Linked DNA regions of Kluyveromyces lactis. The protein of the gene in region 1 purifies or fractionates together with the protein of each later gene. This does not show direct contact. Links are inferred from orthologs where the notes say so. Each region holds a gene or a part of one and is shown on either strand. Other genes may lie near its edges.

What was found. The genes of interacting proteins can lie anywhere in the genome.
Region 2: the proteins of FZO1 (region 1) and MGM1 purify together in Saccharomyces cerevisiae (affinity purification with western blotting; 3 studies listed by BioGRID, with this or other methods). This does not show direct contact. The link is inferred for Kluyveromyces lactis from reciprocal best matches to the Saccharomyces cerevisiae genes FZO1 and MGM1.

The regions. Positions count from the first base shown.
Region 1 is NC_006041.1:2,150,420-2,159,273, reverse strand, and holds FZO1 (mitofusin), read right to left. Parts: upstream 4,823-8,854; coding exon 2,345-4,822; downstream 1-2,344. Other genes in the region: PNG1 (peptide-N4-(N-acetyl-beta-glucosaminyl)asparagine amidase), read left to right, coding at 1-450; EEB1 (medium-chain fatty acid ethyl ester synthase/esterase), read right to left, coding at 549-1,898; Sec63 complex subunit SEC62, read right to left, coding at 5,223-5,963; putative GTPase NOG1, read left to right, coding at 6,584-8,515. UniProt on the Saccharomyces cerevisiae protein: Essential transmembrane GTPase, which mediates mitochondrial fusion.
Region 2 is NC_006040.1:577,901-583,236, forward strand, and holds MGM1 (dynamin-related GTPase MGM1), read right to left. Parts: upstream 2,824-5,336; coding exon 172-2,823; downstream 1-171. UniProt on the Saccharomyces cerevisiae protein: Dynamin-related GTPase that is essential for normal mitochondrial morphology by mediating fusion of the mitochondrial inner membranes, regulating cristae morphology and maintaining respiratory chain function.

The sequences.
Region 1 (8,854 bases):
TATATTTGGAACAAAGAGGATCATGTATGGTGCGAGTACTATTCACCCAATTTAAAAAGATGGGTTCATTTAGATTGCTGCGAACAAAGTTTTGATGAGCCTCATATTTACTCGAAGAATTGGAACAAGAAGATGAGTTATGTTTTGGCTTTCAGTAATGACATTGTAGCAGATGTTAGTGGCAGATATATCCTACAAAATAACCTACCTCGTAATGCCATATCTGAGAACGAACTGAATTTTATGTGTACTTACCTAACTAAGACATTGAGAAAAGATTTCAATGATGATCAAATATACGCTCTGGCGTGCCGAGATGAACAAGAGCGATTATCATTGGAGAAGACAAAGCCATCGAAAGATACATCGACGACTACATTGACAGGTACAAAAGGTAGAGAAAGTGGTTCTACAGCCTGGAAGCAGCAAAGAGGAGAAGATGGTTCATGAGTAACCAGCATGTTTGCTTTTAACTTCAGTTATGTATAATATTGAACTTATATATGAATAGTATCTTGTGTACAAATGTTTTAAACATTGACATTACTTTATTTGACTAATGATTCAAGAGCATCAAAATATTGGGCAACCTGCTTTGTTGCCCAAGAGTCATGGTTTTTCTCCAAGTAAGCTAAATGGCCACCTAAATCTGTTTCGATCAGTAAAACATGAGGATTTTCCTCAGCTTCCTTCACTGGAATACATTTATCACCTATGACTGGGTCATCTTTGGAATTGATGACTAGAGTTGGAACATTTATAGTTGGTAGACGGTTAATAGAGCTTCCGACACGGTAATAAGACCAGGAGTCTTCGAATCCAACAGCCTTTGCTGTAAAAATGTCATCAAACTGACTTGGATCAGTGAACTGCTTAGCTTTTTTCAAGTTTTCACGTGTGAAAGAATAATTCGAATAGTGTTCTGGCGAAATCTCAGCAGGCTTCTCACCGCCCTTCCATTCGATTTGATTCATGTTAACTTCCAGTGTTCTTACTAAAAATTGAGTGATACTCTTTGCGAACAAACGACTAGACCAGAAGTCTTCCCTCATTTTATGGGCAGAATTAGTCAAGTCCCAAGGATTACATACTAATGCAGCACCTGATAAAAGACACTTTTCTCCTTCTTCTCCCAGGAAATTAGCCAACATTGTTGCACCGAATGAAAACCCAACAGCATAAATCTTTCTCTTTGGATCACGCTTGTGTTCTCTTTGCACAAACTCACGCAGATCTTCTGTTGCAAACGCATAGAACAATTTCGGTGATACAACTTTTGTACGTGCACAACCTCTGGTGTTCAACACGGCCACTTTAAACTTCTCATTAGAGATATTTGAAAGTTGCTCCGTTAATGATCTGATGATTGGTTCATGGCTACCACCAGCCAAACCATGCATAACAATGATCAATGGCTTACTTGTATCGTTCAAAACAGACTCTTTTTCTTCGTCATCCATGTATCTAGTACGTGGATGCAAACGAGGCCAGCCTTCAGGATGTGTCTTTTTACCATCCTCAGCTAGTTTCTCTTTATTGTATGTACCGGTGGCAGGGTCTAGTTCGTACAGTTTCTTCCAGTCATTTCTAACCCAATCAATACTGGCAATCCCATGATCAGACATCTCAAACAGTTCTCTACCGTAAAATACATTGAATTTCTTGCTGAAATCACCACCTGCCAAATACATGGTTTGTAAAATACCAGTAAAGATTAGTGGACTTAATTGAAATTTGCTGCCATCGCTCAATCCAGTAACCTCTTCGGAGATTAATTCATGCAATTGAGCCTCGGATCCATCTTTCTTTTGCAACTTGATTGTTCCTTTTTCACCGATATGTTGAGTTACAGTACCATTGTAACCCCAGTGCAGTGGGTTGAATAATAAGTTCACCATTATTGTCAACGTTTATTAGATAAGAGACAACGTCGTTGTGTCAGTACACAAATAGGGTAGACGAAAAATATTACCAAAGTATATAACCAATTTTATGAAGATAAATAAAATAAGTCAGAATATCTGTGGCTCGTTCCTTGATTCTGTTTCCATCTTTATATATTTCGCATTTGAAATGGGTTCTGGTGATGCTACAGGTGTTTGATTTTCGGACCGTAAAAATATCAGCCGAAGGATCCGGAGGTTATGAACGAAGGGTCTCGCATGAGCCATGGAGGGGAAAGGGGACCGAAAGTAAGGTTGTAAATATGTTTAGTTGGTTCGGATCCGCAGCAGTAATGAAATATTTACATGAAAAACTATCATATGGGAATAATTATATATGGTTTCAGATAGAAGAATGATTCTGTTCTTTAGGGTCCTGTAATGCCCATAGATCCATTTAATCAATCTACTTCCAAATTGATCGATTCCACAGTACCTCTCTGTTTCTGTGACTTGGATAATAACGCCTGGAAAAATTCAATACTCATTGCGTTATCCCTTACTTTGCATTCTACTTCTTTCTTTTGGGAAGTCTTTTTATCAACAATTAACTCACACGCTTTTACCACTTCTCTGGTTGGGTATTTGAACACCTGTGATACTTCTTTCGAGATACGGTCAGCGTTATTATGCGCATAATCGATTTCTTGTAATCGTAGCTTATATTTCAAGGATAACTTCATCGGTAGCGCTCTTGGTAAGTCGTGAATTAAATAGGCTATTCCTAAGACTCCCCCTAGCAGTATCAACGATCCAGACAATTTTTTCAAGGATTCTAAAGAGAAAAACCTTGAGCCATGAAGCACGATATTTGTTATCATTTTAGAACCCCCAAAGGAATAGACCAGTAATGTTGGGATCTTTGAAGTAAAGATTAACGATGGGTTGGTCCAATACTGTGAAACAGAATATGATGTTAATGCAAGGGATTGCGACCATGAGCTTTTGGTAGTCAAAGTATTCTCTTCGTTAGTAATTTTCGGTGTTGGTTTAACGAGACCCCAGGATAGGTAAGAGATAAATCCTTCAACAGATGGATCCAAAAAGTTATGCAATTCTAATGGAATATTCAATTTTTTGCTTAAATTATGCTTTTTCTTGGTGAACATCAAACCACTCTTGAAAACCTTGCCCGCCATAAATTCATCACCTAGTTGTTCCTTCGCTAATGCGTTTATTTGAGAAACTGATTGTTCTGCGCTGTTCTTAGCATATGCTTCACTGACTTGTACGCTGGCTAAAATTTGGTCCACGATGAAAGTTCTAACTCGTTGAACATAGTCATAAATGCCAGAAAGACCAGAATATGGAGGGAATTCAGCAGGCTTTAGTATTAACGCTTTGTTAATTTGCATTTTTGTGTATCCATATACTTCCTTTGTGGTAAATTCGCAAATTTTATCAATTGATTCGATAAGCTCAGAACAGCGATTGGTAACATCGTGGAGTTCCGGTTGCAAATCAATTAGAAGGGCATTCAAATGATAGTCTTCCTCTTTATATTTTTCAAGATTACATTGTGATATCCTTTCAAGATCCTTCAATAGCTTTATTAGATAAGTTTTTGCTGGTAAAAGTTTCGAGAGTGATCTTTTCTTGAAGACGAAATTACGCAAATTGTCCTCTAATTTATCGAAATCAGGATCTTCTTTTGGAGGGTTTGGCATGTCTCCATTTGGGTCATCTCCTCCATCAGGGCGATTTTCGCCTTCATGGGGTATTTTACCATGACTGGTAACAAAGTGTACAAATTCACTATTCTGCTTATAAGTTTCTGGAGAAATTTCCTTGATCTGATCTAGAATCAGCTTCTTGCATCTGTCTTTGTCCTTGATATGATCAAACTTGTTGATCACGAAGAACATTAATTTCTTCTCCCTTGAAGCCATAGTAATGAATTCTCTAGCAGATAATGTTAATTGATTTTCGGCATTGACGACAAATACTACAAGATCAATCTCTTCTTGCCTAGACATCACTTCAGTTGTTTTCACTGAATCCATATTAAGCCCAGGAGAGTCAATAAGAGATATATCTGCAGTTCCGTTTCTCAACAAACTAGAGTCAACCGGCCTTTTATCATCTTTAATATATATCTTCAACAAGATATAGTGATCATTATCATAAACCAATTGATCTAGCTTATCGAGAGTATAATCTTCATAAGTCGATCTGTCTCTCATGTCGTATAATACGGATGCATCCTTAACGTTAGTTGCCACGGTCTTGGGAATGGCATGGACTCTTTCCATATTTCCGTTCTCTCTCGCTTCTAAAATTTCACAGAATACATTGGTACAAGGCAATTGATCCTCAGGCAAAACCTTCTTTCTCAAAAATGCGTTACATAACGTAGATTTTCCTGAGTTCAAATCGCCTGTTATGAAAACTTTTGAAGAAGTATCCTGTACACGAGTTTGTAAATTAATCAAATGGTCAATCGCAGATAACGCTTGTGTTTTGAATAACTGCGCCAAAGCACTCTTATCAAGTTGCATATTCTCCCTACCATCTAGTTTGACTTTAAGTTCCAATACGTCCAAAGATTCAGAATGCTCTGGAATATAGATGGCTCTTTGATTATTTTCAGTGATCAAATCGTTGATCAAAGGCCTGACCACGGTAATGGAATCGAGAAGACTGTTTCTGTTGAGAGAGTATGATTGTTGTGTCAAATGAGAATAAAACATATGATCTCTCGACCTATCACGACGATGAGAAGAATGCCTTTGTAGAAGGTTACTCATTTGAACATCTGTTAAAGTTGTACTTGACTCCAACTGATGTGATGAAATTTCAAACGGGGCATCGTTGCTCAACTCATCTTCATATTTAGAGCTTCTTCTATTAGAATTCTGCGATATTTCCTTCTGTGACATGTTGCAGAAGTTTGTAATATTGTGGTGCGGCCGTTCGCTCAGTTATAATACCTATACTAGGATTGGAAGCGAGTGGTATCCTGTTGGCATTATTTTTCTAACTGTTTGCAACTTCTGCTTTCATTACTGTTTTCATTACTGTTGCTGCGTTTTTCATTTTCTTACTTGACCTTAAATCAATTCATGCAAAATAAAACTTTAAAAGAAGGTGATTTCTAGTGTCAGAAACCAAAGATGTCACTACTGATATTAGTATGAGTACATATATCTATATTTATATATGTTTGTATGTTTATATGTGATATTAGTATGTGATTCTCACCGAAAGAATGAACATACACCTTCTGTGATAGTTAAATTGCTAATGTACAGTCTGGGATGGAAGTCCGTTACATTGAAGTTATTTTTGCTTCTTTGCAACTGATCTATGCTTTCTCTTTTCTTTCTTCAGGAAGCTATAGCATTCCTTTTCACCAAATCCATATAGCGGTTTGAAACTTTCTATAACACCGCAATCTTCGAACAAGTTTGGGAAGAGCCAGAACCCACCCTTCTCGCTAACTGCAGCTAATGACAACAAGTAAACTATCAATCTCACAATTGCAATACCAAAGAATACACCGATAAGTGCCAATGCTGCAATGGATAAGTAGTAAGTACCACGTTTCATATATGGAGGCCATAATGGGTAACACACGAATGCTAGCACACCGACTATGATACCGATCACAGTCAAGTAATCATAAATTGATTTTGGATTATAAGACCAGACGTAATATTCATCTGGTTGTAGAGTCGCTTTATTCGATAATAATAAGTTTGGATATGATTTGTTTGGCTTTAGACCATGTTCTTTACATTCTGCAGAATGTAATTTAACCGCTGGTACGACAAATTGGGCCTTGATTAAGGAAACAAAAATGTTACGAGCATCTTCATCGCTTGTCACAGCGGGGTACAATTCGGGTTGTTTTTTGGACTTTGCCTTATATTTATCACTTTTCAAAGCTCTAACAAATCTTTTATAACGGAAGAAGTCAACTAAACGCGATTGGAACAATCCTTGTCTTTGCTTCAAGTCGCTATGAGTCCTGAGTAGATTGGCAATGGCTATCGTAGATTGTGGGCTTGGTTCCGACATAGTAACGAAACAAATCTATATTTGAAGAGAAAAATTCAAAAAAAAAAGGCGGATAAGGCAATTCTACCGGAAATTAGGCAATTATCAGGTAGTGATTAGAAAGTTATAATGAATCTAGAGATTGGACTCAAGCTGTATTCTTTCAGATCAAAATCTCATTGATATTTCTGTATATATTGAAAGTTGAAACGTAAACCGTAAATAAAATGTTCACATACATTTTAACAGTAAAATATATTGTTACCCCGACAGTCTCAAAAGAAAGTGCTTTAGTCACGTGACATAACCAATGTGTATGCCTTTAACGGTCAATTCTGAGATCCATACGAAAAAGAAATCCTGAAAGCACAATTTTTTTTTTCTTTTCAAAGGTTTGCAGTAGTGGGAAAATTTTCCAAACGGCAAGCTCATCTCATCTCATCTCATCTCATTGTGCATTCGAAGTGATAGACAGAGCTTGATTATCAGTGTGACATCCGTTTGACAGGTAGTTTGAATAGATTGGAAGTTTGTTCAAACAACTAAGCATAGCTTAACTGCATTATTGCTAGTTTAATTGTTTTTTGTTGTCCCCGTGTGTGCGTGTATCCCAAAGTTTACGTCAAATCAATTAAGCAACAATGCAATTATCCTGGAAAGATATTCCGACCGTGGCTCCTGCCAATGACTTGTTGGACATTGTGTTGAACAGAACTCAAAGAAAGACACCTACTGTTATTAGACCAGGTTTCAATATCACTCGTATCAGAGCGTTTTACATGAGAAAGGTGAAGTTCACCGGTGAAGGGTTCGTGGAAAAATTTGATGATATTTTGAAAGGTTTCCCTAATATTAACGACGTGCATCCTTTCCATAGGGATTTGATGGATACTTTGTATGAAAAGAATCATTTCAAAGTTTCTTTGGCTGCTGTGAGTCGTGCTAAGACATTGGTCGAACAAGTTGAAAGAGATTACACAAGATTGTTAAAATTCGGTCAATCTCTTTTCCAATGTAAACAATTGAAGAGAGCCGCTCTTGGTAGAATGGCTACCATTGTGAAGAAGTTGAAGGATCCTTTAGTGTATTTGGAACAAGTTAGACAACATTTGGGTAGAATGCCATCCATCGACCCAAACACCAGAACTTTGTTGATTTGCGGTTATCCAAATGTGGGTAAATCCTCTTTCTTGAGATGTATCACTAAGGCTGATGTCGAAGTGCAACCTTATGCTTTCACCACCAAGTCGCTATATGTGGGTCATTTTGATTATAAATACTTGAGATTCCAAGCGATTGATACTCCAGGTATCTTGGATAGACCTACGGATGAAATGAACAACGTCGAAATGCAATCCATTTATGCTATTGCTCATTTGCGTTCTACTGTTATGTACTTCATGGATCTATCAGAACAGTGTGGTTTCTCTATTGAAGCTCAAGTCAAATTATTCCATTCGATCAAACCATTGTTTGCCAATAAATCCGTCATGGTCGTCATTAACAAGACTGATATCATTAAACCTGAAGATTTAGACGAAGAACGTAAGAAACTTTTGGATACTGTTTTGGAAGTTCCAGGTGTTGAAATCATGACCACTTCTTGTCATGAAGAAGATAACGTTATGGCTGTTAGAAACAAGGCTTGTGAAAAGTTGTTGGCTTCCAGAATTGAAAACAAGCTAAAATCTCAAGCTAGAATCACTAACGTCTTAAACAAGATCCACGTCGCTCAACCTCAAAAGCGTGATGATGGTATTGACAGAACTCCATATATTCCAGAAGCCATCGCTAAGATGAAGAAATATGATCCAGAAGATCCAAACAGAAGAAAATTGGCTAAAGAAATTGAAATCGAAAACGGTGGGGCCGGTGTATACAACGTTAATTTGAAGGACAAGTATCTATTGGAAGACGATGAATGGAAGAACGATGTCATGCCAGAAATCTTAGATGGTAAGAACGTTTATGACTTCTTGGATCCAGAAATCGCAATCAAATTACAAGCTTTAGAGGAAGAAGAAGAAAGATTAGAATCTGAAGGCTTCTATGAATCCGACGAAGAAGAAACTTACGAAGGATTTGATGCTGACGAAATCTCTGAGATCAGAGAAAAGGCAGAATGGATTAGAGATAGACAAAAGAAGATGATCAATGCTTCAAGAAACAGAAAGGCATTGAAGAACCGTGGTACCATGCCTCGTTCTAAATTGGCAAAGACATATGGTGACATGGAGAAGCACATGTCTTCTTTAGGTCACGATATGACTGCTTTGCAAGATAAGCAAAGAGTCGCTGCTGAAAAGAACAGATATGAGCAAACTGGTGCTGACGTGGTATACGGTGATCAAGAAGATTCTGCTCCAGCTGGTAAGCTAAGACAGACAGATAGATTGACAGACGGTGTTGCTGATGGTTCAATGAGATCGAAGGCTGAAAGAATGGCCAAATTAGAAAGAAGAGAAAGAAACAGAATGGCCAGAGCCGGTGAATCTGACAGACATGCTACTGCCTCTCTACCAAAACATTTGTTCTCAGGTAAGCGTGGTGTTGGTAAGACTGATTTCCGTTAAACTGTCTGTTCTTCCTTCCTTTCCATCACTGGTGATTTCGAACATATATTATCGTGTTGCCAATTTCTTTTCTATCTCTATTGAACTATATATATTAGTCACTACTTTCATTTATTTGTCTGCATTGGGTGGGTTAAATTTAATTATTACTCCTTTATTTGTAAAATAGTTACGTACTCTGTAAAATTATAAGAGTTATACCTTTGATTTGCTTTTCCTTGACCAAATAACCAACATCCCTCTGACCTCAGTAACAATTTTATCTTTGAAAGTTATTGACTAATCTTGAAGAATAAAAAGGATGAAAATTGTAGGATCTAAATAAAATAGAAAAAAAGG
Region 2 (5,336 bases), on another chromosome or scaffold:
GGGATTTTAAAAAGTTCATTAATTATTTAAAGACGGGAAGCCTTACATAAGATGTTGGCATATTTCCATGTAGAAACATATTAAGATTAAGTTTTGTTTATATACAGTGATCTCGTAAATAGTAGTCATTATAAAGTGTTCCAGAAGCGGTTGTATAGGATACAGTGATCATTATAGGTTTCTTTTCGACAGTCCCTTATAGGATTTTCTGAACATAAGAATAGAATCTATTTTCTCCAAAGCGAGTTCCAATAATTCTTTACGTTTTTGTAATTCAATATGTCTAGCAATTCTGACGTCCTCTTTAGCGAACATCTCGACTTGTTCATCAGATAATAAACTTAGTTTCTTATCCAATTCAATTGGGAAATTGTAAAAGAAGTCACTTAACAACTCAACATTTAGAAATAATACTGCGGTTGATGTTAGTTTATCGCTTACTGCGTTCAAAAATACCTCTGGGCATTTATCTTTCTGAGTCACGGAGAAACATTTGTTCTTCAAGAACTTGAGTCTGAAATTTAATAATGAAGATCTATCTTGTAGGAACATCGCTTCATGGCCCCTTTCAAGCAGTAGGGCAGAGAATCCAAGAGTCTCCTTTCTATTTGGATCCTGTTTCAAGAATTGAATAACTTGATTTAGCTTTCTGTTTCCAACAGCGTTTTTAATCATATTGAATCTATCGTTACATTGGCGTAATTCTTCTTTAATAAGTAGAACCGAGTGTTCTTGAGCCAAGGACCAATCTCTATCTTCCAAATCAATCTCGTATTTGAATGGTTTGATACAGTTTTCAACTTGGTCCGCCGTGGAGTAATATTTGGAATTTAAAACGTTGACAGCAGTGTTTGTAACAAGCTCCTTTATCAAATCATGGTTTCTCAACTGTGACTGATTCAAAATGTTGTTTAATTCTTGAATAATGGCATTCGTAACAAGACTAGTGGACAATCTACCTACACCAATTTTGGTCAAACTAGATTGTGCAAGTTCTAACTTTCTATGCCAATACAATGCAGAGGATTCATCTTCAAGGTCTTGAGATGTTGAAAGCTCTGGTAAGTTCAAATCTTTCCAATATCTGGCAGCAAGTAAGTCCAAAACTTTTTGATCCAAATCGGCTTTGAGAATTGATTTCAGATCGTTTCTACCAAACTTTTCTTGGAATTCTTTGATTGCAACTTTAAGAACGTCGATGTTGTTCAATAAATATGACTTTGGAGTTAGTTGACGATCGTTGAACTCCACCTTGAAAAGATATGCCGCGTCATCTAATTCCTGTTGAATCAAACGGGAAGTAGGTTCAAGAGCATTGCTCATAGAAACCTCTAAGATTTTGATCAATTTCTCTCTTAATTTTTTCGTACTCACTTGGCACGCAGTGAAATCCTTCTTGTGTTCTTTGAAAAATTCGTTCTCAAACTGCTTTGTTTGAGTTATAGCTGTAGTCTCTGTTGGGTCTGTTTTCTTTTTTGAAAACAAATGACTTCCAGAAGATCTGTTGTCGAATAATCTCTGCACTGGAGTCGTACTTGGACTCTTTGTGATGACACCGACATATCCCATTTTTAGAGGGTACTTTCTGTTATTAAGGATAGCTCGAGCAGTCTTAGCATCCACAAGATCCAATTTAGTGACAACACCTATGGTTCTTAGACCTTGAGGATCAGCTACTTTAGATGCACGAAGAGCAGCACTATTTGCAAGATCAACGTCTGCGGCTGAGATAGCCAAAATGATGTTTGGTTCTTCGAGATATTTGTCACATAGCTGACGAATCTTAGATTTAAGTTCTATGGGCTGATCAACAGCTTCCACTTGAATGTAACCAGGTAAATCAACTAAGGACAAATCTGGAACTCTCGAAGATTTGATTGTGAGCTGGATAGGGTCATCTGAGACAGCTTCAGTGCTAGGCACAGCCATGTTCATTTCCGTTAAAATTCTTTTAACTTCTTTGAAATCCTTCAAATTATATATTCTCATAGTGGGGAAATCTGCAGTAACTTCTTGAGATGTTGGAGTGTTCACTAGGGTCAATTCAATTGGTCTTCTAGTAACCATATTAGTACCCTTTGGTAAAAAGTCTTTGCCGACAATGGATTCCAAGACAGATGATTTACCACTTGACTGAGACCCTATGACAACAATAGATGGTAAAGCTAGATTGGCTGAAGTAGAATCCACTTTATTCAAGATTGATCTGATTTCGATCATTTGCTTTGTTAAATTTAACATTTCATCCTGCGTGTTGTCCTCAGCCTCTTCCAAGTCATCATCTTCCTCATCTTCATCGTTTCCATTCTTTTTACGACGTTTTCCATCTGCCGATTCCTCTTCATCGTGCTGATTCTTCAATGTCTTCCCTTCATCATCATTTTCATCATCTGATAATGAAGCCAGGAGAGTAGCTGCTGCAACGGCATCCGACCCGTTATTGTCACCACTGTTTCCTCCATCGTCCGACTGTCCATCTCTCTGAAACCAATCACCCAATTTATCCTTGACATCTCCCGTGAAATCTTTGAATTTGGATAGTTGATCCTGTGTAAATTGTCCGGCTTCGTTCACTTTATAAGCAACGTATGAACCAAACGCAGCGGCACCACCCCCAACGTAAGCCGGAATACGAACCATCTTGCCTATCATACTGGGGAAAAACGATGCGAACCTCTTGTTAGTCAAGGCAAAAGGACCCTTCATATCATTAGTAACATTTGACATTATCGATGGTCTAACCATAAATCGCAACGCACCTGTCCTGGCTGGACCCATCCATAGCTGTCTGAACAGCACCCTGCGGCACTGGTTAGCAAACATATATTTGGATCTTTGTTGAACTCTTGATTGATGTATACAGTGTGTAGTAATACTTCAGAGACGGACAATAAAACGTCAGGGCATCTTCTGGTTTCTTCCCTGTTATATATGCTATTATTTCAATATGTAATAATAAAACCATCTCATCACAGAGAAAAGAGAAGTAGAACATTCTCATTTCCGGGTAACCACCGCTGGATGTTTTTTCTATTTCTAAATCACATGATTAGAATATATGTCTATTTTTCATGTATCATTGAGAGGCAGTCGTTTGTCCGGGTAATATGGTAAAAGATTCCAGTTCAGACCAGGTGCGAAACTTTCAGCATCTCTTAATAAGCCCATAAAAGGGAGCTTTCTTATTGAATGATAAAGCTAACCCCTAAACAGCGAAGACTACACCGTTGTTCAACCTATAGTACACATGCATTAACTAACCATACACAGCACAACACAATTGTAGCACTAAATTATTGCGAAAGCGTCAGAAATAACGTTACAGAAAAAAAGGAAAAAGGAATGCTATCGTTTCCCTCCCCCAGATACTTCTTTTCTCTTTAGACTCTGTGCAGTGCATAGTAGACCCAAAAATTCGCGTCTTATTTTTTGATCGGTAGTTTTTTACACATCCCACAGATAGACAATAAAAAAGAGTCGAAAAATCAAAACAAAACAAAACACGAACTGAATGGAAATATAAAAAAAACAAACAAAAAAGCCTTAGAGATACATTCCATGTTATTTACAACAACAACAGTTAAGAAGTTTTAAAGAGAAAGAGAGAGCTATATATCATCGTTTGAACCCTATTGTTTGAGCTATTCTGTTTATTTGTTACCAAAGTTTGATTGAGTGAAATTTAGAAGTTTTTCTGGCCGCAAATTGAGACGTTATCTGCAATTATAAACAAAAGTTAAGAGAGCAAAAAAATATTATTGTGATTTAATATTGAAAGAAAGATTTTAGCATCCAGTCATATTATAAGTAACTGTCCTATTCCTCTACCATTATACAATACTATCAGAAATGGCTGCCAAAGTTGTTAAGACTACTAAGAAATCGACCGCTGTGTCCCCAAAATCCAAGGCCGCTTCAAAATCAGGAGCTTTGCCAAAGTATAAGGGTATGTGACTTTATTTTTTTTCCTTCGTTTTTCCGTCACTGTGCTTTGCTCTGAGACTGGGAGCCTAGCTTTAGTTAGATTGTTGATTGTTGATACTATGAACTACCAGTGTAGCAGACCATGCTTTGTCACCCCTTCAAAATTGTAATGTTTGTTTTTCTTCATTGATTTTTTTTCTGGCTGCACACATTATTGTTGTTCATTTGAAATTACAATCTATCATTGGTTAAGCTTCCATTATGAAATGTTAATTCACTTTACTAACTTATGCATCACATTCTCTCGTCGCATGCGTGTGAGTTCCTTTTTCTTTTGTGCAGAATTGATTACTGAAGCTATTGTTGCTCTAGCTGAACGTGGTGGTTCTTCTAGGCAAGCTTTGAAGTCTTTCATCAAGGAAAAATACCCAGTTGGTGAAAACTTCGACACCCAATTCAACCTGGCTGTCCAAGAGAGGGTTGGAGACTGAGTTCTTCTCTCAACCAAAGGGACCTGCTGGTTCTATCAAATTGGTGAAAAAACCAAAGGCTGAGTCCAAGAAGGCAGCTCCTTCTGCTGTTAAGAAATCTTCTACTACCAAGAAGCCAGCTGCCACCACCAAGAAGAGCTCTACTAGTTCAAAAAAGGCTTCTGCTGGTAAGGTCGTCAAGAAGGAGTCTTCAAAGAAGACCACTGCTAAGAAAGCAGCTACCAAGAAGGCTCCTGCTAAGAAGACTGCCGTTAAGAAGTCCAAGAAATAAAGTTAATCAAATTTCGAATCACTTTATTTTTTTACCTCCTGTGAATATCGATTCACCTAACTTCTTAATGCGTGTGTTGTATTTTACTACCTTCCTTTGATACTTCTGTCTACCCTTAATAATTCAGTTCAAATCGGTTATTTTTGTGTTATTTAAATCAATTATACCCTTTATCACCACTCTATTATTTTCTTCCTTGAAAAATTGTCTTTCTGTTGAAATATATTCCACCCCTTCCTGTCCTTTACCCTACTTATTCCTTTTGACTACATTCACCATCATTTATTCCAACCCAAACCTCCTATCTCTTACTGTGGTCTCTCTGTTACTCCTCCTTTCATCTTTTCTTTTAACTCACGGAAATTTTAAAATGAGAACACACCACTTAGATTATTGACTAGTGTAATATTAACATTAGCGGATTTCTAAATCAATCCGCTCTTCTTTATTGATATCTCGAATAAAATCATTAAAAATTTCAAATCAACAGGTAGATACCACCTACCTTTATCGTACATGTTTCCTATCCATTGCTGACAATAAACTGTCAGAATCTGTCTTTTTTACCTATCATTTAATTACAAATTGTATCTTATTATTATTAGCTTGATGATGCCGAATGGAAGCAACTATTGATTGAGAAAATGCCA